Linked DNA regions of Elephas maximus indicus. The protein of the gene in region 1 binds, or shares a complex with, the protein of each later gene. Links are inferred from orthologs where the notes say so. Each region holds a gene or a part of one and is shown in the gene's direction. Other genes may lie near its edges.

Evidence for each region.
Region 2: the proteins of ANXA2 (region 1) and S100A4 are in contact, whole or in part, in a crystal structure (PDB 5LPU), measured with the Homo sapiens proteins. The link is inferred for Elephas maximus indicus from reciprocal best matches to the Homo sapiens genes ANXA2 and S100A4. Residues at the interface, in NP_001002857.1 of Homo sapiens: Leu13, Glu14, Pro21, Ser22, Ala23, Tyr24, Ser26, Val27, Lys28, Tyr30, Thr31, Asn32, Phe33, Glu36, Arg37, Leu40, Thr44, Gln69, Asp70, Phe73, Arg77, Arg78; in NP_002952.1 of Homo sapiens: Lys35, Leu38, Pro43, Ser44, Phe45, Leu46, Gly47, Lys48, Arg49, Thr50, Asp51, Ala54, Phe55, Lys57, Leu58, Asn61, Leu62, Gln73, Phe78, Cys81, Ile82, Met84, Met85, Glu88, Phe89, Phe93.
Region 3: the proteins of ANXA2 (region 1) and S100A10 are in contact, whole or in part, in a crystal structure (PDB 4FTG), measured with the Homo sapiens proteins. The link is inferred for Elephas maximus indicus from reciprocal best matches to the Homo sapiens genes ANXA2 and S100A10. Residues at the interface, in NP_001002857.1 of Homo sapiens: Val4, Glu6, Ile7, Leu8, Lys10, Leu11, Ser12, Leu13; in NP_002957.1 of Homo sapiens: Phe39, Gly41, Phe42, Asn45, Gln46, Ala51, Lys54, Ile55, Leu79, Ala82, Cys83, Tyr86, Phe87, Met91.

What each region holds. Positions count from the first base shown.
Region 1 is NC_064831.1:50,493,569-50,503,681, reverse strand, and holds the start of ANXA2 (annexin A2), read left to right. Parts: upstream 1-6,101; 5' UTR 6,102-6,208; intron 6,209-10,113. UniProt on the Homo sapiens protein: Calcium-regulated membrane-binding protein whose affinity for calcium is greatly enhanced by anionic phospholipids. It binds two calcium ions with high affinity. May be involved in heat-stress response.
Region 2 is NC_064821.1:191,398,243-191,407,299, reverse strand, and holds S100A4 (protein S100-A4), read left to right. Parts: upstream 1-5,479; 5' UTR 5,480-5,568; intron 5,569-6,440; 5' UTR 6,441-6,455; coding exon 6,456-6,596; intron 6,597-7,532; coding exon 7,533-7,697; 3' UTR 7,698-7,831; downstream 7,832-9,057. Other genes in the region: S100A3 (protein S100-A3), read left to right, coding at 3,038-3,178, 3,671-3,835. UniProt on the Homo sapiens protein: Calcium-binding protein that plays a role in various cellular processes including motility, angiogenesis, cell differentiation, apoptosis, and autophagy.
Region 3 is NC_064821.1:186,188,085-186,197,651, reverse strand, and holds the start of S100A10 (protein S100-A10), read left to right. Parts: upstream 1-5,153; 5' UTR 5,154-5,262; intron 5,263-5,296; exon of another isoform or gene 5,297-5,468; intron 5,469-9,567. UniProt on the Homo sapiens protein: Because S100A10 induces the dimerization of ANXA2/p36, it may function as a regulator of protein phosphorylation in that the ANXA2 monomer is the preferred target (in vitro) of tyrosine-specific kinase.

The sequences.
Region 1 (10,113 bases):
TTGGAATGAACTTGACTACAACGGGTTTGTGTTTTTGGTATTTTTATTTCATAAATACAGTATCTGGTCTTCAGAGGATATTAACGATACTTGTTTTGAAGTTGTGTGATATTCTGTGCACTGCTTCTGTTTCCTCTGAGTTCTTTTTCTATTTGGTAGGTTATTTTGGTCTCTGTAGTTTACATTAGATGTCCTTCTTAAGTGTCTGGTGACCCTTGGCTGCTGCCTCATATTCAAGACTGGCACACCAAAATTCTTACAGAACACTTCGTTTCCATTGACAGAGCTTCCCAACTGGTGGTTTTCACTCTAAAGTGATCAGGCAGGGGAGCTTCAATGAAGGAACCCTGATAGTCTCTTATCTATAGGGTTGTGTTGTTATTGGGCAGGTCGTTTCCTCCAGTGTGGAAACCCAATCGTGTGCACTGGCAGGAGGAGGGAAAGAGTGCTAATGAGTTGGCTTCCAGCATCCTAGTAGGGGCAGGGAACTGAGAATTTTACCTTTCAGTATGGAGACTTTTTCTTAATCCCCTTGATTTCAGCATGACCTCCCTGCCCTGGATTGTGCCTGTTGTCCCCAAGTCCAGGGAGCCCTGGTGATACAGCCATTAAAGCAATCAGCTGCTAACCAAAAGGTCGGCGGTTCAAACCCACCCACTGTTCCACAGGAGAAAGATGTGCAATCTGCCCCTGTAAAGGTTAAAGCCTTGGAAACCCTATGGGGCAGTTCCACTCTGTCCTGTAGGGTCACTATGAGTCAGAATCAACTTGAGGGCAGTGGGTTTGATTTTGTCCATAGTCTTTCTGTGCCAGCCTTGCTACAGGGTAAACGTCCATCATGTGGCTGGGGTGGGTGAGGGGGCAGTTGCTGGACCGAGTGATAAAGGAGAGGGTCTCTCAGATGAGGTGGTTCTTATATAGACTTTCAACCAATGCCCCTATTTTCAGCCCCACCCCCACCCTCACATTTGGTGGCAACTTTCTGGGGTTCTGTGACACAAAATAACATGCTTCCTGGCATCCCCCACTGCTAGATTAGTCTCCAGATTCTGAGGTCTGCTAAGCCACTTGTCACTTGCCCATCTGTTCTTCAGTGTCGAAGATGTTGTCACTATAATGACTTTTCTTTTTCTCTTTGTCCTGGGGAAACAGTCCTGCAGTCCTCCCTTCTCACAACATGAAGGGGTGCCTGTGGTACATACAGAATACATGCATTAGTTGTCCTTTTTTATTGATTCATTTCAAAGTAAATCACGGGCATCAGTACAATTCAACACTAAACTCTTAGACATTCATATCCTAAACTAGGGTTCAGTATTTGTTTATAAACCTTTTTTGTCTTTTGAGCACAAGCTTACATACAGCAGCATGCACACATCTTAAGTGTGCCATTTGGTGAGTTTTGACAAATATATATACCTCTTTTTTTTTTTTTTAATCACCCAGACTTTGGTTTTTTATTACCCAGACCCCTAGCAAGGTTCAGAGCATTACCATCATCTTGGTAAGTTTCTTCGCCCTGTCCCAGTCAATTCCCACCTCTATTTCATGCCCAGAGGCAATCATTCCAACTTTTTTCCCAGTATGGATTAGTTTTCCCTATTTGACATCTTCATACAGATGAAATCATACAGTATGTACTCTTGTGTGTACGGCTTCTTTCACTCTGCATAATATTTCTGAGACCCATCCACGTTGTTGAGTATACAGTACTGTTTAGCTCTTTGTTGCTGAGAGTATTCCATTCTGTCAATATATCTGTTTGCTTATCCATTCTCCTGTTGATGGGTACCGGGCCTGTAACCAAATTTAATTATTTTTAAAGTTGCTTTGAAGTATTTTTGTATAAGTCTTTTTTGTGGACATATGTTTTCATTGGGTAAATACTTAGGAGATGAATTACTGAGTCATAGGGTAGATGTATGTTTAGTTTTCAAATCACAGTCTTCTAAGAAATTATACTAATAAGTGATTCTGTTAGGAGCAAGATTCTGTGAACCAGACATGCTATTTAAGCTTAGTCTGAAATTCAAGAAGGAAGAAAAGTGTGGAGCTTTGATTTCACATTTGGGAAAGCCACTATGTAAGTGTTTCTATTCTTAGTTATTATGAATTTCTATAAATAGTTACTAAGGACCTACAGAGTTCAGCATTCTTATGGGAAATGAGGGGTCATTTCAAAAGTAAACGGGCGTGGCTTCTCTTTTCAAGGAGCTCAAGTACTGTAAGGAGTCCCTGGGTAGTGCAAGTAGTTAAGGTGCTTGGCTGCTTACTGAAAGGCTGGTGCTTCAAGGCCACCCAGAGGCACCTTGGAAGAAAAGCCTGGTGATCTACTTTAGAAAAATCAGCCACTGAAAACCCTACAGAGCACAGGTCTACACTGACACACATGGGGTTGCCATGAGTCAAAGTTGACTTGTAGGCAGCTTTTTTTTTTTTAAATGTTATAAGGATTCCACTAACTAATGGAGCACATATGCTTTTCATGAGTGTGGCATCCTTTTGAAAAATGCAAACAACAAAACATATTTTCAGAATAGTTCATTCACTTTATAAATAATTCTGAGGCACCTCAATATGTCCTACACATTATTCCCAGTACCTAGCACTGCACATATTTATTGAAAGAGTAAGTGAATGGGTAAAATTAAATACTGTGGAAAGTTTGCTTCATTTGTGAACTTAAGAATGTTAGGTCCCAGAGAGCAAGACACAATTAGTACAGAGCCATTCCTAGCCCATCTTCAAATATACTGATCGCATATGACACAATCAAAGAAATTACAAATTTATGGTTATCGAGAGTCTAAACCATACAATATAGAGACCCCGAGGACAGCCTGTATCTCACTGAAGCACAACGATCTCACTTTAGTGAGAAATAGGGAATAATGGGAAAGGAGTAGAGCAAGAGGCAGAGACATAAATTCTGGTTCCAGCTCTGTCACTTACTAGTTTAAGGATTGTGGTAGATGATCTGCAAAACTGGTTGCCAACAATTCCTTCCATCCATATAAACACGTTGTTCACTCCATGAGTCCATTTCCTCTCCCCTTGACCCTTGGTTTGGTGACTTCATTGACCAGTAGAATGTAGTGGAGTGACACTGTTTCAGTTCTGGGCCTGGAATCTTCGATGTTCACTCTCTTGTGAGCGAGAAACCACCCTGCTTGGGAATGGCCCTTTTGGATCTTGCAGTCCCGGTTGGGTCTCCTTAGCCAACGCTGCATGGAGCAGAGATGAGCCTGGTGATCTGCTTCTGGAAAGCAGCTGATGAAAAGCCTATGGATCACAACGGTCTAATCCACGACTGGTGGCGGTGACGGTAACGACGGTGCAGGACAAGGCAACGCTTCATTCTGCTGTGCATGGGTTGCCATCAGTCAGGGAGAGGGTGGGTGTGTGACTCAATGGCGGCTAACAACAACAACAGCAAACTGCAGCTCGCTGGCCAAATCCAACCTGTGGCCTGGGAGCTTCGGTTTTCTCTTCTTAAAACTCAGTTGAAATCCATGACTGCCCTGGTATATAGAGAGGACCTGGAGGATGAGAAACCAAGGGAGACAGAGAGGCCTGGCCAGCCCTCAGCCACTCTAGCAGCCCCGGCGGAGGCACGAGACAAGTGAGTGAAGCCACTTTCGATCTTCCAACTCCAAACGAGCCACCCCAACCAGCATTGTGTGAAGCAGAGACAAGCTGACTCCTGCCTAAATTGTAGAATCGTGACAAATAAGTGATTGTTTATATTTTTACCACTAAGTTTTGGGGATAATTGGTTACATTATAATAAGTAACTGATGTAAGGCACTTGGGTGCATTATTTAATCTCTGGACTGGGCAGGAGACTATTTTGGATTCTAGTTTCTTCTATAAAAATCAAAGATTGGCAGGTTAATTCCTGGGGCTCCTCTCTAACATTCTGTTACTCTGGGAGTAATTTTATCTTTCTACAATATGTAGAGAGGGCCTCTCAATGAGAGCTGAAGTGCACATGGTTACATGGATGATGCAAATGGTGAATGCGTTAGGCTGCTAACCCAAAGGCTGAAGCTTCAAGTCCACTCACAGGTGCCTCACAAGAAAGGCCTGGCAAGCTACTGCCAAAAAATCACCTATTGAAAATCCTATGGAGCACAGTTCTACTCTGACACATGTGAGGCCATCATGAGTCGGAACCAACCCGATGGCAACTGGTGGTATCAAGGCTGGGTAAGCACTGTCAGAAGTGCTGAAGTGCAGAAGATGAAATGTGAGTGAAAACAAAGCTCATCTGCTAGAGAAAATACACAAAATGGCCGACGTAATCCGAGGTCTGACGCAGTAAACGCTCCTCCCAGTCATGGGGTAAGAATCTTTGGACCAAGAGACTCAAAGTTTCTTTTATATTGGCAGAACTGGCCTCACATTCCTCAGAAATAGCAAACCATGACTTCCAATAGCTTTATTTTTTATGATAACATCAGTGCAAAGTTCTTCAGTATGACGGAAACCCTGGCTATTGAGTGATCTACAGAAGTGTGGATTTGTCAGATGCCCAGGGCCAGCAAAGAAAAAAAAAATCTTTTGGGTACTTGGTGACTTTCACATATTTCATATGATTTGAATTCTTAGCCCCCACAGAGGACCTAACCCAGCACAATTAGGAGTCAGGCTGTGGAGCTTGCTCTGGAAGTAAAGAAGGGGCTGAGTCATGCATGCTCTTTCCCACTGGCGTGTTATGTTCCAAAATGTTCTCAGAGTAGGAAGATAAACATGGTTTCTGCCTTCAGACTACATGAGCCATTAATGTTGATCAGAAATTGTATCCAAGGTGTTGATTTATTTTCTGTTTGTCCTTCAGTTATGGTCTATCATGTGTAATTCCTAGTAATAGAACTGGGTAACAGGAAGGGAGCCAAGATACCCCAAGTGTTTGTTCCACTTAGCATCTGACTCACTGGGTGTCGGTCAGCAGGTCAGCAAGCAGGAATGCCTTCTGGCCTTGGTTTCTTCCACCATATGAGCGCAGGGCTGCCTTTCTCCCATTCTCTGATTCCAGGAGTGAGCTGGCCCTCAACTGGGAAGTCAAAATGGACGTGTAAATAGATGGGAAATTAAGACAGAAGCATCAAGTCCTAAGAGGAAGGGCTGTTTGAAGTGGGCATGAAAGGAAGGAATTCAAATGCGCAGTGAAAGGTCTAGCAAAGGTTTTGGGACTCAGCAAAGCGTTCTTGCTATTTCAGGTTTGACTACAGTATTTGCTCGGTCACGCAGAAACGTTTGTTTGCCCACATGTTGCCAACGTGGTTCGTTGAAAGTAAAGAAAGAAAAGCGAAAAACAGCAAAATCCAGCCGAGGCAGCGGGCTAAACAGCTAGAAAAGAACAGCGGTAGTAAAAGGAGGAGGGGAGGAAACTTCTTTGTTGGAGTTCAAAACCACCGGCCCCACCCAGCTCAGCACGTCTTGCTCAGAGCGCACAGAGGTGCTGGACAAGGAAAGCTCCCGGACTCCTGGGGAGCAGCTGAGCACAGTTCGCTGCGAAGGGTTGGGAGAGTCTTCTAGGGCGGATGGGGTGGGCTGTTGGCTCCGGCCGCGGTCTCCCGGGAACCCCTACCTCTGGCTCCGGGCTCCCTGTGCTGGCTCGGAGGCCAAGTGGGCCAGGCTCTGCAGGGCAGGGCCGGGCGGAGCGCCTCCCCGCGTTCGCGCCCCTCTCGGGAACTGCGGGGCAGGGGTTAAGCAATGTGTTTGCAGACGGTAAAGCGAATCTGGATGCCAACGGCTCCAGCTCAGGGCAATCGACATTTGTTTCTTGGAACAATTCTTTTCTCCAGTGCATTGACGCCTTAAAAAAAAAAAAAGGTGACTTAAGCAACCCCAGAGTCTTCTAACAAGCTAATTTATTAGCCCCAGCCAGGCTGAGAGCTCGACGTGGCTCTCCAGCAGTAAAAGGGGGAGGGAGGAAGAAACTGGCAGATCCTGGGCCTGGAGGAGGCCGGAGCTCGCCAGGAGCCTCGGCGGGGCTTTCATGGAGGGCAGGGTGCAGGGCGCGGCGCGGGACGTTGCAGGGCGAGGCTGGCCCTGAGCCGGGGAGGGTGAGTCACCCCGGCCGGGTGGGGACGGGGCGGGGCGGGCCGCGCGGACCGAGGCTGTGGCGGGTATAAAGCCCCACCCGGACGGCCGGCTCCGCTCCGCATCTGGGGACACTCGCAGCTCTCGGCGCCCGGCCCAGGTAAGCGGGGCGCGCCGCCCGCTATGGCCCCGGGGCCGCCGCGCTGGCGGGAAGGCAGGACCGAGGACGCGGCCTCTCCAGGAGAGGCTCGGGCGAGGGGACCCGGGAGCCGTCCGGGTCGGCACGGGGCTGTGCGAGGAGCGGGCGCAGGGGCCAGGTGGTCGGGGTGGGGCGCGGGTGCCGGGGGCCCAGCTGCACCCGGGCCTGGGGTGCAGGAGAGGTAGGGATCCGACCTCCCGCCCAAGTCCTCGCAGGAAGCGGGGGCGAGGCCGCGCCAGGGAGGGGAGCGGAGGGGGGCCCCCGCAGGCCCGGCGGGGGTGGGGGGACAGGGTGTGGCCGCCGAGGGAGCCGCGGGACCCTGGCAGAGCCGTCCTCCGTGGGCGCTTTTCCCCACGTTTAACGAAAGCTTTGTAGCCATCTAGAAAGTAACCACATTGCGTTCCGAGTTACTTCACTTGACATAAACGTGGATCCGTGGAACCTGAACCCACCAGCAGTGGGGAAGCTGTGGGGGAGGATGACGGGTGCGAGTTTGTAGTAGTCACGCACCTCCCGAAATAAAGCCGAAGCAACAGTAACAAAACCTCAGCTCGGTCTCCTTTGTCTAGATTATCTTGTGGGATAGCAACCTCTGATTTAAGTGTTTCTGGAGAGTTTCCCCGTTGCTTGGGGTCACATCAGCCGGGTCGAACATAGTTGCATCCGGAAGGAAGTGTCCCCGTGCTTCTGTGGGGAGGGCTGTCTTGAATGTTACTCTGAGTGATGCCGCGGTGAGTCAGGGACTGGGGGTGCAGAGAAGGGCGTGGCTCGAGGCCGCTCCTGCAGCGCTGCCAGGCGGTCCCCCTGTCCTGGTGTGTTGGAATGGGGCTCCATCAACTGACCGTGGAGAAGATCAGAGGCGAACGTCAGTTTCCTCATCTGTGAAAGTGGTTTGAGAGCGTTCATTCTTTCCTCCGCTCCCCCACTCCCACAAGATGCTTACTGAAGATTTCAAAACAATAAATGTGGAAAGGACAATGAGAGCATTAAGCGCTACACAAATGCAAAGTCTCCAAACAAACAACATGGGTGCGTTATTAAGATTTTACGGGTGCTCGATCTGTGTAAAAGCGTGGGTCTCATGGGTGCACACTGGGTCTGTACCAAGAACCAGCTCCAGGAGTCCAGGAACCTGGGCCTCTGAGCTCAGACCGCCTGTGCAGATGAATTCTGTCCAGAAGTGTGTGCTGTCTGGGACTTGGTGCTTTGGAATGCAGAACACACTTCCCCAGCGTTACAGGACGTGGTCAGGCTAGCCCAGAAAAACCTATTTTGCATGCAGGCTATCTAAGTCTGATAGGGCATGCCTGAAATTTTTTTGGGGGGGGGAGGGGGGAGTAGGTATAAGGGAGGATCTGTAGGTAGGAAGAATGAACCAACCACTGAAATATTTTTCCAGAACTTTTCTTACTTCCAAAGTTGGCCATGATTAAATCATTTTCAATGGGAAAATTCTGTCTTTGGCCTCTCTCTGCTGTCTTTTCTCCATCTTCCTCCCACCTCCTCAGACAGGACCCTGTCTCCTGACATGTTAGGACAACTGTCAGACTTGTTCAGTTGTGTCGTTCCCCCCCCCTCCCATTTCAGTGTAGTTACAGCTGTGTAGCTGCCATTGGGTTGATTGTGACTCATAGTGACCCTATAGGACAGAGTAGAACTGCCCCATGTTTCCAAGGAGCGTCTGGTGGGTTTCACCTTCTGACCTTTTGGTTAGCAGCTGAGCTCTTAACCACTGCGCCACCAGTTATAGCTAGGGATTAGCAAATTGAACCCATATTCATTAAGTTAGGAATGGTTGTTGGCCTAAAATCTTCAGCAACCCAAGAGGAGTTGTGTTATTTAAAACACAAAACAACCTTGTTAACCCTCCCAGACCCAGTGCCCCAGCACATCTGTAATTTATAGAATCTGAGGCTGTGGAATCCCGGAGCAACAATGCTCACACACTGTGAAGGAAGCTTTGAGGTGAGGGCCAGATCCGGAGAGGCCAAGGGCACTGAGACTTTCCCACTTAGCTTCCTTCCTTCTCAGGCCATCTGTTATCTAAAAGCTTCAAGGTTTTCTCCAGAAGTGCCTATCGCATCTGAGTAGAAGGGTGAGGCCACAAACGTGTATTTTTTTAGTTGAGGTTTATGGTCTCGCAGTTCCCTGAGGTGCCAAGCGGCCTGCCTGTCTGGAGCAAATGTACAGGAAATATTGCTGACTTACCGACTTTGATCAGGAGTTTGGTCAGGGATTGGAGTCTTGGTATTTAACTTCCTGTGTCTTTGAGCTTTAAAAGGACTGTATTGACTGCCGTTAAGCCTGTAGTCAAGGCCATTAGTTTCCTGGCCACTGAATTTAATTTCTGATTTAAGCAGTTTTCCTTGCAAGGTAGGTATTCTTCTATAATTGGTATTGATTTTGAGGGCTGTGGGCACTTCCTACAATGATGGGCCTGCTATCTGGTACTAAAGCACTATCAGAAGCCTTTGTTTTAGCTCTTTGCTTGTGTGGGCTCTGCCTGCTGAGGCATTTTCTATTTAGGGAGGACTGGGCGTGTAACAGAAGAGTCCCAGACCCTGGAGGGCTGCTATAAAACTCCCATTTATTCCACAAAATATTTAATAAGCACCTAGTACGTGTCACTGAGTTACAGGCACTGGGGGCTGAGCAGTGAACAAAACAGACAGAAAACGCCTGCTCTTGTAGACCCTAAATCTAGCGGGAAGAGAAATAAGTGAATTGTACCAACAATCACAAAGATTGCACAGGACTGGGCAGCGTTCCGTCCTGTTATATATGAGGTCACCGTGAGTCAGAGCAGACTCAATGGCAAGTAACGACATTATAGTTGCCCAGTGGTTTTAAACCTTGTTGGTGTAGTGGTTAAGTGCTACGGCTGCTAACCAAAATGCCGGCAGTTCGAATCCACCAGGTGCTCCTTGGAAACTCTATGGGTCAGTTCTACTCTTTCCTATAGGATCACTATGAGTCGGCATTGACTGGGTACTGGTTTTAAACTCTCCGTTTTCCTAAATTAATGTGAGTTTCCAAGCATGGCTGGGGCTCACTGCCCTTTTAATACAGCTGTCCCGCAGACCTGAGCATCTCCTATAGGCTGCCTCGGGGAACTGCTGTTTAAAGTGATCTTGACTCACCTGCCTTCCAGACTTGATTGTGAGAATCAGGTAGGAATGGAATGTTCCTCTCTTTTTTTGCACATGGGAACCCACTTCCTTCATTTTCCCTGGTACCACACCCTATTCTAGTTGTCGGCCACACCAGAGGAAATTCCAGCTCTTTAAAAAAATTCTTTCCGCCCATTCACTGTCTAGTATATTTTTCCTTCCCCCATTGCCAGAGGCAGGCCCCATCTATTTTGTAGAGAGGGCAGGCCAGCAGGCGCCCAGGCTTGTGCTTCTGAGGGGCTCTACAGAGACTGTCTCTGAATCTTCCTTCTAGGGTACACCTGGAAGCGTTTAAAGCCATCTCAGTGTGTTCGTGTCAGAGCATAACTCAGTAGCACCCAGGTGGCCGGAGTTCTAATCCCAGGTTGAGTCTGGTGGGAAAGCAGGGGCTGTGACATAGCCTTTTTCTCCCTGCCACTCCCAGCCTCCACACTCACAGCTCAGAGGAAATCAGAGTCCCAGGGACACTTGTAAGCCCTTCCTCCCCCCATGGCCTTGCCTCCAGTGTGGAAAGGGGAAATAGGTTCTATCTCCTCCTTTTCCTGCGGACAGGACCCAAACAGCGTCAGAGGTGGGTGCTGGGCTAGGGGTAAGGATGGACTTTATGTCACAGTGACAAAGAGGCTGGCCTGGATCTGCTAGGCTTTGCAAAGATTTGCACAGAGGCTGGGAATTTCAACCTCCAGCTCTGCATGT
Region 2 (9,057 bases), on another chromosome or scaffold:
CGGGCAGGGGGCCTCTCAGGCTTAGAGGATGGGGGAGAGACTAGGGAAGCATTATGAAGGGATTTCCATTTCTGGAAAAAACTAACAGCGAAAAACCACTAAAATTGCTGGATAGAATTTCAAAGTCTTTTTTGAAGCAGCAAAGTGCTGACAGGGGAGTAAGAAATGAGTAGGCCACACTCTGAAGTGGAAGCCAAGTCCAGGAGGTGACCAGAGCACCAAGGCCCTGAGGGCACCAGCCAAACCAAGGCACCTGAACTTGGCTTTGATGGTTGCCAGAGAGGAATGACCTCGGGTTCACCTGAGGAGGGGAGACAAATGGGAGGCCCTCCATAATGCTGGGACCCCAGAGAGCTACACGTTTAAGCTAAAAGTCAGAGGAAACCCCACCTGACCCCTGTGGGACTGCAAGAAAAGTTGCCTTGGTGCTAAACAGAGCAGAAGAGGAAAGGAAACAGCCCCTGAGTAACTCTAGACACACAGCAGCCCAGATTCATCTGTATCACTTAGTGGGGCAAGGGAGGGCAAGAAACTTAAGCCCAAGCTTCTGCAATTGCACTAGGAGGAACACATCTTTATGACTTCATCCTACACCTCAAAGAAATCCCACAAAGATTTTCCCCAGGGAACTGAGCAGTTCATATTCGAAAGAAAATGATGAAGCACCGAAAAAGTGATCTAGGGATTAGGCAGGGAGGATATCTCAGGTCTCGGCCTTCTCATCTATAAGTGAAAGGGCTCAACCAGGTTCTCCTGAAAGTCCTTGCTCTGGCAAGGGGATTCTCTGGAGAGCCAGCTCAGTGAGGGAAAATTGTTTCCCCACTTTGTATTCTTGGGGTATCTCCTCAGAGTGAAGAGCTAGGAGGATGGATGTACGGACCAGCCCAACCTATGTCCTCCAAACCACGTTGGAAGGAAAAGAAAAGGAGGCTGCACCCAGCTCCTGACTCTGGGGGAGGGCACGGGGCACTGTCTGAGACCCCAGACTGGGCCTTTGATGTGTTCATGAACAGGTGGGCAGCTAGGGCTGTAATAGAGGCTGCTGAGGAAGGAGGCGGGGAGCCCCTAGGGCATCCCCAAAGCTGACCTAGTTGAGTACCCCATAATTACTCCCTTCCTCTCTTGGGAAGCTACAAATAGGGATGCCCTGTCTCTAGGCTCCTACAACTGAAACGTCAACCCAGTGGTGAGTGCCAGCTGCTTGGGTCCTGCCTTGGGTAGGGTGTTGGGGAAACTCAGGGGCCCCCAATGGCCTGCCTCTCTCCTGGATCAAGGTCTGGGCATGGGGGCAGAAGGATGACCATGGCAGGGATTGACAGGGTGAGAGAAGTCAGATATGGTAGGCTGGGGGGTTCCCTTTGGCAGTGAGCGGCTGTCAGGAAGTTGGGCTAGGAGGTGTGCAGAGCTGGGATCTGGCTCTGGGTAGGGGCATGGGCTAGAAATGTGGGCGTTACCTTCAGTGAGCTCCCTCTGCCTCCTCCTTGCTTCTCTGCTTCATTCCTGGGGACGGGTTGAGACAGGCCAGGGCTGCACAGGAAAGAGAGGATTCCCAGCCAGTCTCCAGGCACCCAGCTTCTGGAATGGCAACAGTGGTGGTGCCAGGCAGGCTGGCGGGGGCCCAGAAGGGCATGCTGAACACCTCTGAGTTTCCCTTAGCCCCTAGGATCATGGCCCCTTCCTATCCTGGGCTCCTGGACACCCTGTTCTAATCCTTGGCTGTCAGAGTTAGAGCCCGGGCAGTTTTTGGTACCACCCAAGCCTTCCCGCCACCCACCAGCCACGTGGGCCATTTGCTCCACAGGGCCCACAAAGGGTGAATCATTAAGGAGAGAGCCTTGGTGGTTGCTGCTCTTCGTTGCAGGACTCCCGTCCCCTGGGGGAGCCAGGGGTGAGTCATTAGGCTCACATGGGAACAACTCTTGCCTTCCTGCTGCCTTAGGTTCCCCGGGCTAGAAGCCTCCTCCCAGAGAGTACTGGGTGGGGACACCGGAATTGGAGGAGGTGGGCAATTCCAGGAATGGCTTCCCCTCTAACAGGGCCTTCTATCTCAAGATCCCTGGGTCAGGGGATGGTCTCGGGTGGGAGGGTCAGGGGTTGGTAAATGCTGGAGCTGGCCATCTGGGTCAAGTCCCTGACCAGGCCGTGGGGTGGGATTAATTCCATTTTATAGGTAAGGCACCTGAGATCCAGATAGGATAAATGCACCATTGTCACAGTTAGGAGAGAGGTAGAGAGGATTCTAGAAGTTTTCCCTTTGGATGCAGCCTCCTTCAGTTTGAGGGAAGAGGGATCACTAGAGGAGTGGTGGTGAGGCGGCAGGGGTCCTCCTAGACTTGACTGTCCTTCTACTGCCCAGCGTCTGTAAGGGCCTGAGGATAAGGCAGCGCTGGCTGAGGGTCTCCTTGGGCGAGTTCGTAGGGAAGGAACTCTGGGTCCTGAGGGAGGAGACTTCTAGGGCCATGGGCTGCACCTACGGAGTGGGGCTGGGCCCTTCCTTGGTGTTGGGGACTGAGTAAAGGTGGGAGAGAACCAGAGAGTCCTGAGGGACTCTCTTGGTGGGGAGGGAAGGTGGAAGGGTCAGACAGACACTCTGTCTTTGAGGGGTTTTCAGTGAAATGAGGGAAATGAGACTCCCACCCAGGAAAATAACACCCAGGGGGCAGTAGTGAGATGAATTAGGAGGGGCTGGTGTGGTCAGGGAGCTCTGGTGGCACAGTGGCTAAAGCACTCAGCTGCTAACCAAAAGGTCAGAAGTTCGAATCCAGCAGGTGCTCCTTGCAAACCCTTTATGGGGCAGTTCTACTCTGTCTTATAGGATGAGTTGGAATTGACTCAATGGCAATGGGTTTGGTTTTTTTTTTTTTTGATTGGTGTGGTCAGAGAGGGCTGCTCAGAGAGGGGGTAGCTTGTGGCCCAAAGCCTAGGGGAGAGTAAGATGGTCTGGGAGCAGTGTCTGGGGAATGCAGAGGGCAAGGTGAGCAGGGAGGCTGGCCTGGACCTCCGCCGTGAGTCACACCCTTGTTCTGTGACAGTGAGGATGACCAGACCCTTGGAGCAGGCGGTGGCTACCATCGTGTGTACCTTCGGGGAGTATGCAGGGCGCTGTGGGGATAAGCATAAGCTCTGCCAGGCGGAGCTCAAGGAGCTGCTGCAGAACGAGATGCCCACCTGGACCCCGGTGAGCAGCCCGGGGCCCATCCTCCTTCCCCATCCAGTGAGGAGGTACTGCTTGGATTCTGTAAAGAGAGACCTGGGGACAAGTATGAGCATAGGACAGCAGGAAGGGTGGAGGCTAGACCGCATGGAGGTGACAGCAAGGGGACTGACACAGCAGGAACCTCAGTTTCCTAGTCTGTGAAATGGAAGAACAATCATCACACCTGCAGCCTGCAGGGTTGTTGCAAGTATTGCCCGAGAGCACTGTGAAAAATGTCTGGCTCATAGCAGGCACTCAGTGGCAAAAAGTAGGTGTTCAATAAATGATGTGAGAAGGAGGTTTTGGGAGGGGGATTGAAATGGGCTCATCATCAGAACAGGTAGGCTGAGGCTGGCCCTCCCAAGGGACGTGGATTGGGATGGGGTGGGAGCACCTAGGAAGGGAGGGAGGACAGGAGTGTATGAAGCTGCTTGGCCCTCCTCATCTTGCCCCCTACACCCCTCCCTTGCACAGATGGAGTTTCGAGAGTGTGACTACAATAAATTCATGCGTGTTCTGGACACCGACAAGGACTGTGAGGTGGACTTCGCTGAGTACGTGCGTTCACTAGCCTGCCTCTGTCTCTACTGCCATGAGTACTTCAAGGACTGCCCCTCGGATCCTCCCTGCTCCCAGTAGCCTCTGCTCCAGAGGAATGGGCCAGCCTGGAGTGCAGCGGTCTGGCCCACCTCTGCCCCTGAGGTGGTCCTGGGCAGGTCACCATACCCCTCCCTGCCCTCTGGCCTGTACCTCTTTCAGTCTAGAGTCCCCCAGATTCACCCCTGATACGTTGACCCATTTTACAAGGAAGCTCAGAGATCTGAGGGACCTTGCCAAGGATGCACACCTGGTGGTGGGTAGAGCAGCGACTGGCTCCATCCTGCCCTCTGAGGGCTGCACCTTCTACCTGGGGCCTGTGGGCCAGGGTGGGAAGAGGTGGGAGTCTGTTTTGAGGAAGTTAAGGCTCAGCAGAGTATGGGCACACAGGAGACCATGGATGGGAAAGGGCCTATTAACTCCTAATAAAGAACTGGTGTCAGCTGGACTTGGTTTGGTTCTTCTGCTGAGATTGTTGCTCCTTTCTGGTCTTTTCCAATGAGGACAGGAGGCTGAGGGGAGGAGCCCTGAGTTCCCAGAGGACCCTGAAGGTAGTTTCAGACCCCATAGAAATGAAAGGGGCTGAAGTTTCCAGTAGGTGGGGCAGGGTCACACACAGGACTCCAGTCCTGGGAGGACCTGAGAAAGCCTCTCTTTCTCTGGGCTTTTTGAGGGAGAGGTCCCCTTGGGCTTTCATGGAGGGCAGGAGGGCAGCCTAAGCTTCCTTGGGGACCATGTTGCTGAACTCTGCCCAGTCAGGATATTCTGAGCAGGAGGGGAGGGGCTGTTGGGGGTGGGTGGGTGGGGTGTTTGTTCCCAATCTGGGCTGTGGTGGCCCAGAAGGCAGTAGTAATAGGATTAGGGTGTCTGAGGTGTCTGCTCCCAGCCTGAGCTGGAGGGGGAAGGGATACCTTGAGGAAAGCCTATCCCTGAGGCCAAAGCTACTTTATCCCTGAGCTTACACCCAACCCTGGGACCTTAACATTGACCCCTGACTCCCTCATTCTGAACCATTTCACCTCCAGTTCTCCACCCCAACCTGGATTTTTCATTTCTGACACCCACTGGAACTCTAAACTCCCCATCCTGACAGTCTACCCCTAAGCCCCAGCCCCTTTCAGTCTATCCCTGTGCGCTCATGCCTGGCTCCCCACTCCTCACTGTCACTGCCTCACCCAGGACCTTTCTTTGCAAACATTCCTCAGGCATTCCCACAGCCTCCTTTGGGTTAGTCCATTCCCCTTCCTGACCTCTGGTTCTCCGACCCCCCGCCTTATTCAACCTGGTAGAGCTCCATTTGGGACATTCCTTGCAGCACTAGGCCTAGGGCTCCCCTCCCTTGGTTTCTGGGCAGCCATATATCCAGGGGAATTTCCCATCTGTCGCCCACCAACCCTAGCTTTCCTACTGCCTGGGGTGACTACTCCTTCCCTGTCTCTGCACATGCTAGGCCCCTCCTTCCGGCTTCCTAAGGGCTGAGCTCTATATGTTGGGTGGTGCCCACCCATGGAGGTCCTTGTCTGTGCCCTCTGTGCTCACCCACTGCCCATCTGTGCCTGCTGGGGGCTGGAAGGTTGTGTCCAGGCTGGGCTGGTTGAGGGGCCGTGGCACTTACCACATGGGCCCACGGCAGGAGGGCTGTCTCCACTCTCCCCCATCCCCTGCCATGGGCAGGGCCTGGCCAGGGTATAAATAGGTCAGACCGCTGAGCTTCCCCCATTTTTCTCTCTCCCCAGCCCTTTCTCTCTGCTCAGCGTTTCCTGTCGCTTGGTCTGGTGAGTTGTGGTCGCCTGACTGGCATGAAAGAGGTGTCAGACCAAGGCTCTGGGGCAGGAGAAGGGGAAGTGGGTGGGGGCCAGATATGGTAAATGGATCCAGATGTAAGATCCTGATGTGGAGGCTCTGGGGTGGGATGTGTGTGTTTGTAAGACAGAAAAACAAACACACAGAAAGGTCAGAGGGGGGCTGAGATGCTGGGAGTTGCATACACTGTCGCTGCAGTGTGTTTGGTGTGTGCGTGACCATGTGAAGGCACACTAGCTTGTGTTTGCTGGGTTGCATGAGACTGTGTGTGCATGGTCAGGTGTGGTAAGGCAAATGGAGGCTGAAAGCAACTGTGGGTTTCTGTCTGGTGGTGTCATGTGAGCCCTGCAAGGAGCCATGCAGCCCTGCGCCTCCCCTTCTTCCTCCTAATCCCTGTCTGTGCCACTTTGTCCTGCCCTGCCTCACACCAGGCACAAGGCGGCTGGTTTTTTCCTGCTATGGGCCCCTGGGCAGGCTTCCAGGGGCCGCGCCCAGCACTGGGAGCAAAAAGAATGGGCTGGGGCTGGAGGCTGTGGGCTGGCTTTGGGGGTGAATGAACTGACTGAGCTGTGGAAAAAGCGTTGTTGTTGAGCCACCGCCCTGGGGAGACCCAGCCTGAATCTCCAGAGCCCGTGCAGTGGGCCCTGCACATGTTTGCTACTCCAAGCATGTATTTCCTGCTCCACATGCCCACCTCCACCCCTAGAAGCTGAGCCCACCTTCCTGGGCTCCTCCCACCATGGAAGTAGTATCTCACCAAGGGATCCTAGAGGGATGGGGAGTGGGGTGGGGCACTGTGGACACATAGCTGGGGGTGGGGTAGATAAGGGTGCCTCTCCCCCAGATCCTGACAGCTGCCATGGCACACCCTCTGGAGAATGCCCTGGATGTGATGGTGTCCACTTTCCACAAGTACTCAGGCAAGGAGGGTGACAAGTTCAAGCTCAACAAGTCAGAGCTAAAGGAGCTGTTGACCCGGGAGCTTCCCAGCTTCTTAGGGGTGAGTAGGTGCCACCTCGGAGGATGCCCCCATGGGGAGTTCCCACGCAGGAAGGACAAGGCCCTGGAAGGCATGGGTCTTTTGTAGACCATTAGCTATGGAACGGGGCAGTGGGAGATGGGGCAGAGAGCTCGCATTGGATGCCTGGCGCAGAAGCACAGTGAACACCCCCACTCACTGACTAGTCCCAGACAGGAAGCAGACTGAGGCTGAACAGGTAGATGATGGCCTAGATACTATGCGATGTTTTGCACTGACTATATAACCTAACTGGAAGGAAAACTGAAGCTTAAAGAGGCTAAAATAACTTCCCAAGGCATCTAGAGCACAAAACTGAGATTTGAACAGACTGCCTGAGTCTTGCGACTACTCCAGGAATGGACGATCTTTGAATTTCAATTTGTCCTGTGAATGTGAAGATACAGTTATGGAGACACCTCATACCCCTACAGACCTTCCCCCAAATGATAACAGCTTCCATTTGTATCAAACTTTATACAGTTTATGTATTGCTTTCATGACCATTACCTAATTGAATTTTTTTAAATTGTAGTGAAAAATACACACAACAAAACAAAGCCAATTCAACAATTTCCACATGTATAATTCAATGACATTGATTCATTTCCAAATTATTCTACCACCATTAACATAAACCCCTCAGGAAAACTAATTGGATTCTTAACCCTGGGAGAAGATGTTGTGGCCCCATTTTTCAAGTGACAACATCCAGGTACTCAGGAAACTCTTCCTCATCCCAGGGACATCCTCTTCCTGTTGTAGCTTAGCCCTGAGGGTTGGAGTTTCAAAGGCCGAGACCCCTAAGAGAGTGGCTATGTAAGCCTTTGGAGCTCTGAGTTTGAGGTGGAAACCTGGTTCTAGTCTTGGCTCTTCCACTGGGCTTCAGTTTTTACCTGTAGCCTCTTCTTCCTCCAGAAAAGAACGGATGAAGCTGCGTTTCAGAAGCTAATGAGCAACTTGGACAGCAACAAGGACAATGAGGTGGACTTCCAGGAGTACTCTGTCTTCCTGTCCTGCATTGCCATGATGTGTAACGAGTTCTTTGAAGGCTGCCCTGATAAGCAGCCCAGGAAGAAATGAATGTTCCTCATATGTGGTCGGGGGCTCTGCTGGCTGGGGTCTCCCCTGCAGGCAGTGGGGGTGGTCACTTACCCCGGCTCCTCTAAGCATGTGCATGATGCGGAGCAAATTCAATAAAGATTCTTGAAAACCAAGAGCCTGCTGGTCTGGGGGCTAAGGGGGATACCAGGGGAGGTAAGGGTTTGTGGGATGGTGGTGGGCAGTGCTGGTAGTTGAAGTGCAGTTTTATGGGGAGCTGACTAGTGAAGATGGGGGAGGGGCGTGGAGTGACTGAGGGTGTGCGTGTGTGGGAGGCGACAGCTGACTGTGGATGGGGCTGAAGGCAGGGAAAGGGGCCACCAGAAGCTTGGAATGCCCAACTGTGAGATCTTAGCCAGCCCATTCTCGCCTCCCATCCTGTTCCAGCCTTGCCTCTGGCAGGGACTCTAACTGAGGCTGGGATGGGCTTGAAGGTCACATCTGCTCCTAGATGGGGGTCTGGAAAAAGAGTTTGGGTGCCCTGAGGGTAAGGGGGGGGAGGGAGGAAATAAAGTTGAGTCATGGGGAGGGAGTAGCTGAGGCCGGGGTGTGTGTGGGGGAGGTTTTCCTGAGCCAGAGGGCTGGCTTTCAGGCCTGACATTTACAGTCCACTGGCTTCAAACCACAGGGATGGATTAATCCTTTGCTGCCCATGTTTGGATCAGGGAGGCGATACAGAGAGAGATTGGGCTGTTTGCAGCAGCATGAGAATATAGCCATTCTCCAACCCGCTGTCCCTGCTCCAAAGTCCCATGGGATGAGATCTGTTACCAATTAGGGATCATGGCTTTCAGAGAAGGACAAGGGGCCTTGGGAAGGATGAGTGGAGATTGGTGGCTAGGGTGGGAGTGAGGGAGATGGTGGGGAAGTGACCATATTTTTTGAGACAAAACTTCGGACATGATCTGATAAATGAAATTGAGATTTTTTTTTCCCAGAAAATGTCAGGCATGATGTTGCTTTGATTAAAAAAAAAAGATTAGGGTAGGTTAAACCCAGTGGGTTCCAGTGTGCAGTGGACAGGATTGATGTTGGACCTCAAGGCCATGCCTGGATGGTATCGCGTACCTTGATGGAAGACATGAGTCGAGGTCAGGTTCAGAGGCAGCGTTTGGTCCCCTTGACCTCTCAAGCTTTTCCTTCTTCCACTCATTACACTGTGTTTTTCTCTTAAGTTTCAGAAACATGCGGTAGGTGACTCAGAGGTTCCCTCAGAGTTTGGCCACGGAAACTTGGGAAGAATTTTGATCCAGGAAAAAGTTTGCTTTCTCCCCCTTCTCTTTCCCTCCTTACTCCTCCTCCCCCAGCCTGTGCCGTCCCCAGGGACTCCCGCTTGACTCAC
Region 3 (9,567 bases), on another chromosome or scaffold:
TCCAAGAGCTACGTTAGCACAAAAGGAACCTCAGTTCAGTCTTCCTCCCTCTTTCTCCCTGTCCCCTAGAGAGGACTCTGCTCCAAAATGTTCACCCATAAATCACACACCAGGGACTTGGACCACTGAACAGCCTGCCTTAAACTCCCTAAGGAATTAAGCTGAGTGAAGGAAGCACAGAGAAGGTGAGGGTCTACTTATTCTTAGCAAACTCCCTGCTGGGGCTCGCTAAATGCCTTCATGATCATTGGCTTGTCCAGTCTTTTCTGTTGCCCCAAGAGATAGCTGTCAATCCCCATTCTACCAATAAGGAGACTTGGGTTCACAGTGATGAAATGACTGGCCCAGAGTCATGTACCTGGTAAGTAGGAGAGTCACTCACTCCCTGCTTAACATTCCCAGTGGCTCCTTCTTACCTTCAGAAAAAAGCTCCAAGACTCAGCAGAGTATCTAAGGTGCCCCAGGACAGGTACCCCCTCAGGACTCATTTCCATCTAAGGCCCTAGGGGCTCTACACTGTCCCCGTGCAGAACTGAAGGCAAGTCCTGAAATAGACATGCTTCCCCACAATTCCATGGCAATGCTTTTTCCTCTCGGCCTCCACAAAAATCCTCCTTGTCCTCTAAGATCCACATAAAACAAAAAAGTTGACAACCCCTAACAAAAATCTATCCTAAGAAAATAAGCATTTGAGAAAATATATCTGCTCAAAAACAGTTACTTTATATACAATTATTCTGAAAGCAAAAAATTAGAAACAACCTAAACATTCAAAAATATGGAACACATTTAACAATTATAATATCTCCCTATTTATGTATACCAGTACAGACACCTTTGGGGTTTTGTTTGTTTGGATTTCCAGCAGAAAGTCTTGACCAAATACTTGTAAATCAGTGGTTGTAAACTGACATACCATGGATGACTACTGTGATTCCTTAACCCAAACCAAAAACCAAACCATTTGCCATCGAGTAGATTCTGACTCATGGCAACCTCACATACTACAGAGTAGAACTGCTCCACAGGATTTTCTTTCCTGTAACTTCACAGAAACAAATCACTAGGCCTTTCTTCCACAGTACCACTGGGTGGGTTCAAACCACCAAACTTTAGGCTGGCAGTCAAGTGTAAACCATTTGAACCATTTAGAGACCTGAAACCTTAATAAAAAACCAAAAAAACCACTAGGCCACCAGGGTTTCCGAAACCTTAATAAGGCATTTTAATTGATGGATAAAGTTTACTTTTGCTACAACTATGATTCACACTGTTAACATAGTGTCTGGGCAGGCAGAATGTTAAGCTAGGCTGCACATGGTTTCTGTGTGCTGCACGGTACAACTTGATACACATAAGGAAACAAAGAAACTATATGCATTCCCTAAGACCTGCAAGAACTTTGTCTCATGAGTATCAAAGACTGAGCGATCACAGCAACAACTGTTCTACTCAGTGATCAGTGCTATATAAACCAAAAAAACAAACCCAGTGCCGTGGAGTCGATTCTGACTCATAGCGACCCTATAGGACAGAGTAGAACTGCCCCCATAGAGTTTTCAAGGAGCACCTGGCAGATTTGAACTGCCGACACTTTGGTTAGCAGCCATAGCACTTAACCAGTACGCCACCAGGGTTTCCATCAGTACTATAGTATAGTTAATATACATGCAACTTAATCCTTTCAAATGTGCTGCCAAAAATGCTGGCACTCAAAAGAAGCCCACTGTTTGATAGGGCTATGTTGAAACAAATAAACTTCCAAATTTCAGTTTTCTTTTTTACCCATATAACTATTCCAAAGCTGGTTGGTCTTCCTGATCAGCAGGTGGTTTTCCTCCACACTGTGATTCAGGGACCCAGGCTCCTTCCAACTGTGGCTCTTCCACCCCTAGAGGCACCTGGCAATTGGAGAGAGAGTGCAGAAAAGTCACCGCTGTTGCTTTAGTTGGCAAGCGACACACATCACTTCCTATTCTGCATTTGGCCACCAAGTGACACACCACACTGTCCCATTCTGGTCACAGGATCCCACCTAGGTGCAAGAGGTGCTGGGAACGTAATCCTTGGCTGAGCAGCCACTTCTCAGAGACAACTCTACACTATAGAAGGAGGAACACACATTTCTGTTAGACAGCCCGCCCTCTCTGCCACAGCCACCAACCCCCCAAAAAACTGGAAACCACTGGGTAATGGGGTTTTGTTGTTATGTGACATGAAGAAGTGGGAAAGTACCCAGGAAAACAATCCCTCCTGCTCCCGGCGTTTAGTGCACTGGAACCTGCCAGAAGTCTGGTGGAGAACTTGAACGTCGCCTCCTCTTCATTCCAGAGACACACCGGCTTGAGCCTCTGTTTCGTTTCCTCTGATGGCCATTCATTCTGCTCCTCTCCTCACCTCATCCCTTCACCCCCTGCTACAGCACCAGCCTTCCTGGCAGCTTGGGTTCAGGCTCTGGTCCCTGACTTCATTGCACGCATGTGGTTTACAAGGCACAACTACTTTCTGAGAAAGACCTGCCTGGGACCACTTCTCCTAGAAAAGGATTATAGGCATGGCAGGCTTAGAGCTTTATGGAGCAACTGATCCATAAATCATTAACAAGCTACATGAGAGCAGGGATAGTGTCCAGCATGCTGACCTTTTTCCCTACTGTATCTTCAGCATTTAACACAGCGTTTCAGAAACCCAAGTTCCTTCCCTTTTGTGAAGCTGGATCCACTAGGGCCTCAGAGTCCTCAGATTTCAGCTGGCAGGCAGGAAAGAGAGACGAGAGAAGCCACATTGCAGGTGAAAAGTTACTTGTTGAATGAAAAAACATAAAGGAATGAGCAAATGTACACTCACATTCCTGATAGATATTTAATGACATAAAAAATAGTAAAGATAAAGTATCACATGATAAAAGTAAAATAATTTGATAATCAGTGTAATCACAAATTGTAAATATATGTATATATGCATAAGACTGGAAGGCGATACATAAAGATATTTATCTTTGGTTCATGGGTTTACAAATTATTTTTTTTTTATATATTGCTATATTTTCCAAATCTTCTATAATAAAAAAGTAATCTTTTTACAATCAGATTTAAAAATCACAGTGTCGTTGCTTCCAGGTGGCTCAAACAACATTGTTGTTGGTAGTAGCCGTCACGTAAATTGTGACTCATGGTGACCCCGTGTGTGCACAGTAGAACTGTGTTCCAGGGGGTTTTCAAGGCTGTGATTGTTCAGGAGCAGATCACCAGGCCTTTCTTCCAAGGCCCCTTTGGGTGGGTTTGAACTGCCAACCTTTCAGCTAGTAGCCAAGCACTTAACCATCTGTACCACCTAGGGACTCCTGCATTATTGTGATTTTTAAAACATCTGTCAAATGTTGCTTCCCAAAAAAAATCATCCTGTGACTACTCCAAGGTGATTTGGAAGCCCTTCCTTAATGTTCCCATGGCGTCCAGAACACATGCCTCTGCCATTCACTAATCACACTAGATTTTAATTGTTTGCTTATCTATCTCCCAGTAAGACTTGGAGCACTTGAGGAAAGGAACTGATTCTTTAATCTCTGAATCCCCAGAGCCTAGCACATGCAGTAAGCATTCCTTAAGGTTTACTGACCAAATGAAGAAATTAAATAAGTGAATTGTGGTTGTGTGCCATTCAGTAGATTACAACTCGTAGTGATCAATGTGACAGAGCAGAACAGGACTGCCCCATGGGGTTTCCTAGGCTGTAATCTTTACAGGAGCAGATGGCCAGGTCTCTTCTCCTCCTCGGAGCTGCTGGTGGGTTCAAAATGCCAACCTTTCCTTAGCATCAGAGAGCTTAACTACTGCACTACAGGGCTCCTAAATGAGTAAATCCAGTTGCATCTTTCCAGGGACAAAAGGGACCCAGGATCGTCTCCACTGTGACTGTAAACTGAGGCCTGATATGAATTTGGGAAGTACATGGGAAGATTCTGAAGAACTGCCCCTGAAAAGTCAGCACCAGTGCAGGCAAGAGCTGAATTCCAAGTTGGATTTTCCTGGCAACAGTCAAGCTTAGCCACGTGGTAGCACTTGGAGGATTCCCTGAGTCTGCTCATTCCTTTGGGATCACTCACTCCTTCAGGATCTCCCCTGGGAAAGAAGTGTGAAGGAAAATCCCAGGGTTTGGGACTCATTCCTTTTCTGCCAATTGTTGCTAGCAGTTTACATTAAACCCTAAACCACAACTAAAATTATTAATGTCTAAGGTGTCACGGAGGGTGGCAGGTAGAATCCGGTAACAAACACCTAGGTTTTCTTTAAATTTCTTCAAGAAATTTCTAAAGATTTTGAGGGCCCAGCAGGCAGGCCAATTACAGAACAAAAAGAAGGTTTTGAACCTTCGGTTTTAACAGTTTTTTTTTTTTAGCCCAACTGAAGCTGAGCTATTGACCAAGTGAAGCCACATAAGCCGTGAAGGGTAAATCCCTTGTTCAACAAAGGGTCTGAAAAACCTCTAGAGCTGACAAGCCAAACACTCCCCTCCCTCCAGCACCACAGCGAGTCAGGCGGTCGGGGAGGGCGGCTTCTTCTGTAAATGCACGCGGATCCGGACCACAGGCCGCGGAAAGCCAGGGCTGATATCCCAGAACCTAATTCTAGAACAACTAAGTCTGCAGCGAACGCCTTCGCGGTGGTTAAGATTTCACGTGCCCCTCCCTGCAATGTCGTCTAGAAAATGTAATCCCTAGACCTTTTTGCGGGGAGACCTGTAGGTTACCGGAGAAGAGCCGCTTGCTTACAGCTGAGCTGGGTCTGGGCCAGCGCGCCCCACCCGCAGAACGACTAGGCTTTTTGATTTTCACACTCACCCACTTTCTAAAACCAAACCCGACAGGAAGGGCACGGCCGAGGGTGGGGATGGCCTGAAATATTCAAGAGTCTGAATATTCCTACTTGAAGAGGACTTTCGATAATACATGCTCACTTGGGACGAGAGAATGGCAATAGTGAAGCTCTTCTGCAAAACGAGAGCAGGGTGTCTGGGAGGCGCCCGTGGGGGGAGGGGGTGGCGTGGGGGGGGTGTGCAGGAAGAGGAGGGAGGAGACAAGGGGTGGGGTGAGTGGCGGCTGGAGCACCAGGCCAAGGCTCCTCCTGCTCCCCGCGCGGGACTCGCGCCTCCGCCCTCTCCCCCCCCCCGCCCCCACGTACTAAGGCGCAGTGCCTGCAGCGCTGCCCTCACTGGCCCTGCGTCCCAGCTCGCTGAGCGTCCGTGCCACGCCTCCCGGCCAAGGTGAGTGCCGCCGGACCCGCGCACTGCCCGTCGGCCAGGCGGGCTGTCCCTCCTGCTGTCCCAGCCCTGGCGCCTAGGGAAAGCCCCCGAGCCTGCTGCTCTGCCTGCCGGACCTGGCTTTGCGGAGCCCCGGGCACCAAGCGCCTCGGCGGGGAGCCGCTGCTGGAGAATTCGCTGCTCCACGCGCCGGGCCACACCCAGGCGAGGCGAGAGCGCCCCTCCCCGGTCCCCGCGCGGCCGTCCCCAGACCCTCGCGGGCGGGTGTGGGGCGTGCGCTGTATTTTACTACGGGACATGGATGTTGGTGCCCCTGGGCTTTTGCTCGCTCATTCTTTTTAATTTGTCTTCGTTTACGCCCACCTTTCCTGCATTTCGTCTAGTCTCCCGAGTTACTCGAACCCCGGCTTCTGGCCCCCTTTCCCGGCCGGCGTGTGTGGTTTCGTTGTGGGCTCCGGCCGCAGGCGGACCTCTGTCCAAGTGTTCGTAGCCCCCTCCGGCTAGACGACCCGAGCAGGCTTGGGGAGGGCTGGGGCGGGTTGGCAGCTGGCGGATTCCCTTCCTAAAGGAGACACCAGCCCCTCACCCAAACAGAAGCTTCAGGTCGGGCTTCCTGTTGTTTGTCTACCAGACGGGGAGATTCTCACTGCTGCGAGAGGGAGGACTATTGGTTTTCTCTATAAAGCGGGTTTTCTGTTGCTGGTGTTTTTTGTTGTTGTTGGGGGGAGACTGTGAAGCGAATCTCGACTGAATTAAGTTTTCTCTTCTTGTCATCTTCATTAAATAAGTGGCCCTGGAAAGAGATGGGGGAAGAGTAGTTTTCATGAAAGGTCTCCCAACCCCAGCGCAGTGAGACGGAGATAGAGGCCGCAGGCCATTTGTACCTCCTTCACAACTTGAACTTGGCCAAAGGAATGGAGCTTCTTTCCAGCCCTGGATGCTGCATTTCCCAGCATCGATCTTGATCCGCCTAACTGAAACCCGGGGCTTACTGCCATGTCGGGTGGGGGTGATGAGGAAAGCGGAGCCCTAGCCAAAGCTGGAATACGTTAAACCCCCCACCCTTCCCTCTCCGGACCTCTCTTCCCTCCCACGGGGAGCTGGAAGCATTCTGCAGGGCGGGGTTACCACTGGGGACTCCAGGATTCTCCTAGTGGTGAGGGGTCTATGACTCAGCTGTGAGACCATGTGGGTGTGGCCCTGCTGGTTCCAGAGACTGCAGATGGTTTGGACAGAACACTGCCTGAAGGAAAAAGGAACTGTGCCATCTTAGAGGACTCTTCCAGGAGGAAGTGAGTCACACCAGCACTGACGGGCAAGCTGAAGGAGAGTGCCTTGACTGAACTGTATTTGAGGGCAGTAATTAGACCATGGCACTGGGTTGGGGGGTTGGGGCAAGGGGAGACTGCTGGCTAGGTGATGGGCCTGCATGCTGCCTGGCAGCCTCCCTCAGCTTTCCTTGGGAGGTGGCTTTTCCTTAAGAGGTTTGCAGTGGCTACCGATTTTTTTTCGCCCTGCAGCTTGAGCTTAAATCTCTAAGACTGGATTTCTGTATCCTGTGCTTAGAGGTGAGGCGACTCATGGAAGCACCCTGTCAGTGATCTTTGCCTTCAAAGTGTTTCAGCAAATTGCAAAAGATAATGCCAAAATAAATAAATAAATAATGCCAGCGGTTGAGGCAGAAATAATGAGTTCATATAACTTTTTTCTTTTTATAACTCATTAGAAATTTCTTCATCAGCGCCGCCCCCACAGATTCCTGTCTGGATCCTATTTAATCATTCCCTTCTCCTTGAGAGCTAGAGGCTAGTTTCTTCGTTACGGTCCTTGATCCACCATTCGAAGCATCTTATTTCAGTGTTTCGCATTTTTTTTGAGGGTCAACTGGGTATAAAGCAATTGTTTGGTCTCACCCTGATGTCTAGGTCATGCTTACCCCTGGCTTTTTCCTGGATACAACATGGGATAAGTCCTTTTCCTCCCATGTCTGGCCTGTGGCCAGCCTCTCAGGCTGCCACCACAGTGAGGTCAGGCCTTTAGGCTGGGTGGAGCTGAGACGGGGTGCCTTTCTGCTTTCCACTGACATATCCAAAAATGTGGCTTTTTTAGAGCACTACCCACTTGGTATGCCCCTTGGACCCAGCCCAGTCTTTTAAAATGTAATGATGAGGGAAACAATGGAACCCTTTCAGTGTTATAATGTCTAAATTAGCATTCAGAGTGCTGGGAACATTTGATTAAAATTTTAGGATCTTTAAGCTTCTCTTTTTCCCCAGAACATAATTTCGGAATTGCCATCAAAATCCAAAACAATGAATTTACTTATTTTTTTTAGCAATTTTCAGGCTTCCTGTCCCTTCACCAAATAGCTGTCACCTACCCCCACCAAAGGATGTAATAGAGTTTGTCACAATGGCTATTGTTGGCTGATTCAGGTGGATGCTGGATAACTCTTCAAGGAAAAATGGATGTACTCTGCTGGGGACAAGGAGGCTTCTGAGTTCTTTATTCCTGTTGGGTCACATCTGGAATTTATCCTTTGCTGCCCACTTCTTTGGTGGGAAAGTTTTATTTGGTAAGAGGTGAGGGAGACAGCCTAGATCCACACCCATTGCCTCAGCTCATTATTTTTCTGAATTCCCTTTAAGGGATCAAATTCAGTTTTCAAAAAAGAAAGAAAAAAAATTGTTTTCAGAATTCCCAAAGCAAAAGGAAGGAAATCTCAAATATATTTGAAATAATAGATCTTTGTTATCACTGCCAATTATTTTCTGGGTGGTCTGTAAGAAAACTAGGGTCTGGATGAGACACTGAAGAGCAAAGTAAATCAGGCCTTTTGCTCTTTACAAGTGTCCTCTTTGAAATTACGACTGGATCCGGGCATAGGTCCAGAGCAAACATTCGGGATTGCTCAGGAGCAGACAATTTTGTAAGGAGGCCTGTTGTTCCCCTGCTACTTCCAGGTTGGTCAGATCTTACATTGTCAATCTCATGCTTACCCACTTATTGAGGAGGCACTGTGAGGGCAGGACAGTAGCTACTGGGGTCCTGCTCAGGTAGCGCACAGACTAATGAGGAAACAAATGCAAATAACTGGAATTCAGGACAGACTTTTAAGAAGTATGCCATTAGCTAGTGAACTTCTCAGAGGCAAGAACCATGCGTGTGTCTATCTGTCTGTCTGTCCCTTAGTGCCTGACACCATGCCAAGACAGGCAAAGTAGGTGCTCTGTGTGGGAGAGCCAAAAAGGGAAACTGAATTCCCATTACAGGGACTAAATTTATGGAGTCTAGAATTCTCTTCCATAGAGAAAATTACCTCGAGAAGGACTGCAGCTTCCAGGCCTCCACTCTTAAGTCGCGTTGCCCACACAAACATATACAGGCCATATCCAAGCATCAGAACGAAATGATTTAATAAAAGGCGCATGAACAGTGAGATGGTTAATATCCCATGGAGATCACCGGTGAGATAGGCATGAAGTAGAAGGTGGGATGAATGAAACATGAGAAAACACCGAGAGTGAGAGAGGAGAGGAGTCATGGCAGGGTCTGACCAGACCTGTTTAGCAGGACACATTTTTTCCTTTGCCTGTGGAATGTGTTTTTCTCTGTGCTCTACTGTTCCATTCAGAAGTGAGCCCTTTTGCGGTTCCTTCCTGGCCCTTCCCAGCTCCCACGTGTTCTCGCTGAGCTCTGAGCTCCAAGGTTTTCAGCCCAGTCCTGGGTGATCAAACCTGGACTTAGCTCCTGCCAAGGGGTCATTTGATTCATTTATCCGCTCGTTTAGCAAACAGGTCTTTAGTGGTTAACGGATAAAAGCAGAATAATTCACAATTCTTGACCATAAGGAATTTAAGTCTAAGATGGAGAGGCAGACAGACAGACTATGAAATGTGATCAAGTGGTTCAGGTGCTGGAGGAGGTGGTGGCCGTGGAGGACGCTGCTGCCTCTCAGCCCCGAGGCCCTCCCATCAGGGTACCCATCCAGGAAGCAGGAGGCCCACCGTTGCCCAGGAGTGGAGCGTGTCGGGTGGCTGGGGGGATGGAAACGCCAGTCAAGTCCCAGAACTGCTTTAGCAATCAAAGGTCAGTGCGGCAGCCCCGCCCCGCCCAGCCGCGCCCCGCCCCGCCCATGAAGGGAGGGCCTTGCCGCGCTCACTCAGTGGCGCAGGTGCTGCGCTCCAGAAAAAGGCCAACCGAGAAGGGCTACGTGTCGGTGGAGGTGATTCAGCTACTAGAGAACAGAGTCGTAGTCACAGTGTTTCCCCCCTTGTTTCTTAGTCTCTAACCAGTGTGCTGGCTCCT